Daphnia pulex: one gene and its partner. Each later gene encodes a partner of the first gene's protein in a complex. Links are inferred from orthologs where the notes say so. Each region holds a gene or a part of one and is shown in the gene's direction. Other genes may lie near its edges. The genes, in order: probable actin-related protein 2/3 complex subunit 2 and actin-related protein 2/3 complex subunit 4.

What was found.
Region 2: probable actin-related protein 2/3 complex subunit 2 (region 1) and actin-related protein 2/3 complex subunit 4 share a complex: the UniProt entries of both Caenorhabditis elegans proteins name them as parts of the arp2/3 complex. The link is inferred for Daphnia pulex from reciprocal best matches to the Caenorhabditis elegans genes arx-4 and arx-6.

The regions. Positions count from the first base shown.
Region 1 is NC_060024.1:1,047,770-1,051,662, reverse strand, and holds probable actin-related protein 2/3 complex subunit 2, read left to right. Parts: upstream 1-1,437; 5' UTR 1,438-1,584; coding exon 1,585-1,658; intron 1,659-1,722; coding exon 1,723-1,816; intron 1,817-1,883; coding exon 1,884-1,983; intron 1,984-2,057; coding exon 2,058-2,192; intron 2,193-2,253; coding exon 2,254-2,526; intron 2,527-2,590; coding exon 2,591-2,820; 3' UTR 2,821-2,955; downstream 2,956-3,893. Other genes in the region: uncharacterized protein LOC124201224, read left to right, coding at 1-430, 502-627, 876-1,097; phenylalanine--tRNA ligase beta subunit-like, read right to left, coding at 2,956-3,107, 3,170-3,371, 3,439-3,813, 3,879-3,893. UniProt on the Caenorhabditis elegans protein: Functions as actin-binding component of the Arp2/3 complex which is involved in regulation of actin polymerization and together with an activating nucleation-promoting factor (NPF) mediates the formation of branched actin networks.
Region 2 is NC_060028.1:5,631,720-5,635,197, forward strand, and holds actin-related protein 2/3 complex subunit 4, read left to right. Parts: upstream 1-1,454; 5' UTR 1,455-1,626; coding exon 1,627-1,629; intron 1,630-1,814; coding exon 1,815-1,933; intron 1,934-1,993; coding exon 1,994-2,201; intron 2,202-2,331; coding exon 2,332-2,502; intron 2,503-2,565; coding exon 2,566-2,571; 3' UTR 2,572-2,757; downstream 2,758-3,478. Other genes in the region: uncharacterized protein LOC124209792, read left to right, coding at 1-193, 251-1,007; mitochondrial carnitine/acylcarnitine carrier protein-like, read right to left, coding at 2,835-2,916, 2,986-3,091, 3,194-3,373, 3,447-3,478. UniProt on the Caenorhabditis elegans protein: Functions as actin-binding component of the Arp2/3 complex which is involved in regulation of actin polymerization and together with an activating nucleation-promoting factor (NPF) mediates the formation of branched actin networks.

The DNA.
Region 1 (3,893 bases):
TTCTCCAGATCGCAAAATTGTAATAAAAACAATCTCAGTTGTCTCCATGAATAAGGTGGAATTGTTCCTCAATGGAAAACAAATATTTCCCCGTAATGTTAAGACTAATTTCAATGTAATTGAAGATTTATCTAACATTATTGGTGCCGTGGAAGTAAGCAATGTGTGTGATGGAATTGTTGAACTATCACTAGCGAATGTTTGTGTGACGTCCCGATGTAGCGCTGTGAAAGACGGAAAAATCATACGATCTAACCGGTGCACAGGACTTACTGAAAACAATGTTTGTTTGAATTGCAAATTCCTTAAGAAATATCTGATGACTCGCAAGAAACAATTAGGTTGTAAGGCTGAGAGGACAGGAATTCAAAAGAAAAACCAACAGCAAAAGAGAAATTTAGCAATGAGAAGAATTCTCCAACAAGGAAAAGTAATTATTTTTTTGTTATTCATAAATTAACATACGATTACTATTAATATATTTTCTATTTGTAATTTTAGTTGGTCTCTGGAATTGTGTCAAATTTAGAAAAAGAAAAGCAGACTTTGACTATTACAAACCAAAAATTGATTAAGGAACAGAAAAAGAATAACTTTGACGAAAAACTAAAGTGCCTGAGTCCTACGGTAACAATGAAATACTAATTTAATTACCTCATGACTAGACTATATGTATGCTTCCCTATTTGACCAATGTTTTCCAATTATTTCGATAGAGATATCATTCCTTATTCCAACCCTCACATTTGTGAAATCCAACTTATTCGCAAGACTATTCAAAAATAATATTCCAGACGATTGACAATGACATTCCATACTTACTAAAGACCATATCATATATCAGTTTATTAATAGATTTTTCAAATCTCTATCAGGAACAGTTAATCGTGAAAACTATGATGGACAAAGCTAAAGCAAAACCGGGAAAAGATAACTGTAAGAAAGGAATGCGTTACGACCCTTTATTTTTGATGCATTGTCTTCAAATTCGACTTAAAAGCAGCAAGACATATAGACATTTGAAAGCAAATGGAATTTTACCACTTCCGAGTCTTGAAAGCATAAGGAAGTTATTAAGCTCCACTGACTGCCGTTAATACACATTACAAGTTATAAATTGAACCAATGAAATCTATTGTTATCATCTGAAATTAATCTTAATTAGAAAATCGTCAATCAATCTGTTTAACGGATGCGCAAAGTACGCATAGCTCTGATTTGTTTACGAGGGACTTAGAAAATTTCTGTGTTGTTTCAGTGTAAGCTTCCACCCTTCCAACACCAGGTCGCGGGGCTGTCGCAGTAACCAAAGATCACAAAAAAATCAGCTGCCTTATGGGACCTTATAACACAGACAGTGGGAACCATTATATCAACAACCATGGTCTTTGTCTATGACACCATGCTGGTGCTTGCGTACCGCACCTGCTTTGTTGAAATCTGGCAAACGGCAAGTCCACTCCCTTTTCTTTTGTGGTTGTCTTGTGAGTTGTGACAGATAACATTAACATTTCCTTGTGTGCTGACTATGTTGAAATTTGTTTAATTTTGTGATACAAGTCATCACATTCACATTTCGTCGCGATGATTCTTCTGGAAATAAATAACAAAATTGTTGAAGATACCCTTACAGTTAAAATAAAAAATTCGCTTGCCGGGTAAATAATTTATATACATTTGTTTTTGAATTGCTACGAAACATATTATTCCTAATTTGTATAGAAATAAACCGGATTCCGTAAATGTAGTCATTGCTGATTTCGATGGGGTTCTTTTTCATATTGCCAACCCTGATTCTGATAAATCCAAAGTTCGAGTAAGTTATTAGAAAGAAAACCTTATAAATGAAATGTTGCAGGATTAATTAATTGTTATTTTTATAGGTTAGCATTTCACTGAAATTCTATAAAGACCTTCAGGAACATGGTGCTGATGAGTTACTAAAAAGAGAATATGGGAACCTACTATGTCAAGCTGAAGATGGTATGTGTAATATCCTATTGGTGAAAAGGTTTTATTTATCTTCTTTGTTTATTTATCCTTTTTTTTTTTTGAAGGGTACAATATTTCCCTTGTTTTGGATTTGGATAACATACCTGGCAATTGGGAAGAAATAGTAAAAAAAATTGGACTGCTGAAAAGAAATTGCTTTGCATCTGTTTTTGAGAAGTATTTTGAATTTCAGGAAAAGGGTAAAAAAATAATGAGCAAAAGCAATACTCTGAAATTCTATAATTTTTCTTTTCTAATAAGGTGAAGAAGGGCACAAGAGAGCAGTTATCAATTATCGTGATGAAGAGACATTGTACATAGAAGCTAAGGCAGACAGAGTAACAGTAGTGTTCAGCACTGTATTCCGTGATGAGGATGATATTGTGTTAGGTAAAGTTTTCTTACAAGAACTTCGCGAAGGTCGCCGAGCTTCTCACACTGCCCCACAAGTTCTTTTTTCTCACCGAGAACCTCCTCTGGAACTTCAAAGTACAAATGCTAAAATTGGTGACAATATTGGATACATTACATTTGGTATGAAATCATTTCTATTTTTACACATGGATTTCTGTAAAATTTATGTCATAATTCTTTTTAGTCTTGTTTCCACGGCATACGAACAAAAACGTCCGCGAAAATACCATTAATTTGATTCATCTCTTCCGTGACTATTTGCACTACCACATCAAATGTAGCAAAGCCTACATTCATTCACGCATGAGAGCCAAAACTTCTGATTTTTTGAAAGTATTAAACCGAGCTCGACCTGAACCAAAAACGGTGGAAAAGAAAACGATCACCGGCCGTACTTTCATTCGTACTCCATGATGTTTAAATGCACATTTTCCCTGTTTACCTAATTAGGATTTCTTCATTGATTAAATTGTAACGCTTAGTTTCACATTTTTCAATAATACACTAGCTTCTCATTAATGACAGACCACATTTATTTCTTGTAACTGCTTACAAAAACGGTTCAATATTCAACTCCAAAGCTGAACATGGAAGATTTAAATCAAAGGATGTCACAACATCAGGATGTAAGACTCCGACGATTCCGACAACAGTGCCAGCAAAAATGATTTGGGCGCATCGTCCGGGGAAAAAAGTTGCATCTGTAAATTTTATAGCTTTAGAAGAAGGTAATCAAAATATTGATGCAGTATATGAAATGAACCTTCGCATGGTTTCAGGAAGTATCCCTTGCTGCCACTCTGATCCAGTGGAACTTCCAACAATTGCATTAAGCGATCTAGTAAACCATGAACTAATTCAAATCCAGGCGACTTATTGTAATAAACGGCGCACAGATTGCGGCAATTACGAGCTCCAACATCTCGCTGACTGTCTTTCACTACCACATCGGATACTTCAAATAGCTTGAAGAACAGAAACCATATGTTTTACAACTTTTATAACTTATCTTATTAAATAAATAGGTTTTACCTTCATGGGCAAAGGCATTTTCCTATTGGCAGCGATAGTTTTGAGCAAACCTGAAAGTAAGGTCGTGCGTGCTACTTGGAACTCCAAAGTTTTCGGATTGGAAACATGAACTGCAGGAACGGAGTTCAGAGGTTTCCTCAGCTTTTCGCTTATGTCTTCCTTCGAGCACAACGAAAATGTGAGAGCCTCTGTGAAACCGGCTTGAGCAAGCTGGTCTCTCAACTGATCTGACAGCTTATTTAGGGGAAACTGTGAAGCTATGGTGTTAGTTTTCGGTAGAGTTTTGGTTATGTTATTGTATCCAAAAGCAATCGCCACATCTTCATAGACATCACACGCATGAATGATATCATGACGAGTGGGGGGTATTTCAACCTGCCAGGGAATATTTTTACATGAATTTTCAAAATCCTATAATTTAACCATTACATTTTTTTTACCGAAATGGAACCAGT
Region 2 (3,478 bases), on another chromosome or scaffold:
CTGCAGTTGAACAACTTATTTTGGATGAAGATCCTGTTACTTTCCGAAGATTTCTTCATTTTCTCTACACTGGTCTACTAGATGACTGTGATTATTATCTCATAGATATGAAAACGTATGCAAAGAAATACTTCGTAGATGAAATGCTTCCTAAATTTACCGCAAATGGAACAATGGAAAAAATGGTCACGAAGTATTCTTATATTTAATTCATTTAAATTTCATAAACCATAAATTGATATATTTTTAGATGTGAAGCTGACGTGAACTCACAATTAACGAAAGGAGGTGTCGTAATGCAATATTCATGGACGTTGAAAAAGTTGCCAACTTTGAATCGCACAACTTTCTCTAATAAATCAAAGGACGGTATGTGGTTCGGCGTTGGTATTCAGTGTGTACGTATCATCCCATATACAAATTGTAGCGAGTTCGACCTATACTTTTTTACTGGTCGAAACAGTCGAGTGGTTGGTGTCTCATACTTCAACAGATGGGATCCCTGTTCACAGAAGAAACACAACATGGATCTTAATAAAAATCTGGTCTTCACAAGCAATTTCTCCGTTGCAAATGGATACAAATGTTACCAGTTCACGTTCTGTGTGACGATCGAACAAGCGGATAATGAGGAATATCGATACGAATTGCAGGACAGTCTTTGCCCAACTCAGCTTTGGCGTTCCGCTTTGGATGGCATGACCACCGATGTTCAGTTGCTCGTCTCTGGGCGTATCTTTCATGCCCATCGATGGATTTTGGCCGCCCGGAGCCCAGTTTTTGCCGCAATGTTTTCCCACGACATGCTCGAGGCGAATACTGGGTGTGTTGACATCAGCGACATTACACCAAGCATATTCGAACAAATTTTGTTCTTTATTTATAATGGCCGCATACTCGACTCTACCCCTAATTTACTTCTATTGGAGGCAGCTGATAAATACCAAATAGAAACGTTGGTTTTCATTTGTCGGGCTTCTTCATCTCCAATGGAAAAGGACAGTTGATATGGTGATATGTGCTGCATCAACAAATCAGTGCAACAAATTAGTGCAATCGTCAACAAATTAGTGCAATCGTTACTTTGATTCTATGTTTGTTAACCTATTATTTCTCAAAATAAAACAAATATACCGGCATCGACTGCACGTAGCGGATATCTATCTGCATATATCATTTCTAACGCTCCCTTAAAAAAACACACAAAACAAAAGTTTAGTTATAGACTTATCTTCAATTCTACCTATACAAGTAATATATAACAAACTAACAACAAGTCTTAGATCAAAGATATTTACGAAACCCCTAAGGACTAAAACTTGTTTATATTCGGCTTGATTTGTGATCTGTGATCTCACGGTAAATTTCTTGAATAAAGGAAATTGATTGATTGATTTTTTTGCTTTATTTAATACGGGCCCTCTACTGGCAGCAGATTGAACTGTTTCCATTCTTCGTCGGTTCCCATGTTATCTTAAAAAATTGCGGTTTTTGACAGATCCGGCCCACCCCACTGAAAAAAGCCAAAGAAAGCACTAAATTGAGTAGGGCCTAAATAGTGTCCGTGGAACATATTCTTGAACTATCTTAAGATTCTACGCTTTTCAGCTGTGCAAATTGCAAAAAATGGTTAGTTTGCTCTTAAACTTCTGTGTTGTGATTCAAACCCAGCTAATCCAAAAAGAACTTTGAAAATATTATGTTTTGAACTCATCAGACAAAAACACATTTCAAACACTTTACCACACCCTCTTCCTTTTATCATTCCTATCGTCTTATGTGTACACGTATAATTAATATTTTGTCATTTTTAGTCAGCAACTTTGAGGCCTTACTTGTCCGCAGTTAGAAGTACACTGGAAGCTGCAATGTGTTTGGAAAACTTTTCTTCCCAAGTTGTTGAAAGACACAATAAACCTGAAGTGGAAGTCAGGTAAGGTTAAATGAGTGAAAAAATTGAGTAAACATTAATAAATACTATTTTGAAACATAGAACAAGCAAGGAATTATTACTGAATCCAGTTGTTATTTCAAGAAATGAGAAAGAAAAAGTCTTGATAGAAGCCTCTATTAATTCTGTTCGGATTAGCATTTCTATCAAACAGGCTGATGAAATTGAAAAAATTCTTTGCCACAAATTTATGAGGTTCATGATGATGCGAGCAGAAAATTTTGTTGTTTTGAGACGAAAGCCTGTTGAGGTAAACTCTTTTTAACATATTCTAAAATATGTTGTTAAACTCTTTTTAAAATATTCTAAAATATGTTGTTAAGGTAAACTCTTTTTAAAATATTCTAAAATATGTTGTTATACATTGATAATTTCTCTAGGGTTATGACATAAGTTTCTTGATAACTAATTTTCATACTGAAGCCATGTACAAACATAAATTAGTGGATTTTGTCATCCACTTCATGGAAGAGATAGACAAAGAAATTAGCGAAATGAAATTGGCCGTCAACGCACGAGCCCGTGTGTGCGCTGAGGAGTTTTTAAAGCGGGTGTGTTTTACTGTCAATTTTTTCATCAGTTATTACCGACTAACATTTCCCATTTTTTAATAGTTTTAATTCGAGAATTTATTGGATAACTGGAAGAAAATTGAGACCAGATAATTCCCAAGTTTATTTGCATAAAAACCTGTTTCCAAGCCAAGCTAATTCAGTAAAATGATCCGACTTGTGTACAATCAGATAACTCCTAGTTTGAGTTCATGCACAAGCTCAAAAAATAATAAATGAAAATATTACAGAAAACTATATTGTATTTAGTCAAACTGGAGTGTGCATATTTCTTGATAATATCTACTTGGAACAATATCAGTGCTCCGCAATTAGATAGAAGGAGCTAACCAGTTCAAAAACTTCAAAGCCATTTCAAATCCTAAGAAGCAAACGGCATTTGCAGGGAAGGCTCTTTAAAGAAAAATGGACGTTAAAAAATGTTATCAAAAATTCTTATTTAATTAAATATGTCCCTATTACCTAAGAAACACTGGAACTGCTCCTCTATAGAGAGCTCGAACACCTTCTTCGCGCATCAACACTTTAAAGACGTCACGCACTCCATTAGGATACGTTCCTTCGGGAGCTTCAAGTGGGAAAATAATCGAAGATATAAAGTTATCATATTACCTTTCACTTAACTCATTTATTTAATAGCCTAATATCTGATTCTATTAAAAAATATTACCTGTTTGTAGTCTACTCTTCAGTACATCCGGTGGGATGGCAATAATCCAGTTGGCGATTCCTGCCATTCCACCGGCAAACATTGTCCGAATTGGGCTTAATTTCCCGTCGGAGTTTTCTGGTGCAAGTGCAACCTGGAGCCATTCATAGGTCATAAAATAGATCCCGCTGGCTGGAACATCTACCAAATCGAAAGAGAGTTCATCTGTAGTTGCAGAAATTTTCTTCTTGAACTATAGTTGAGTCAACCTTACCTCTGAGCAGTGTAGCTCCTGTTCCCCGATAG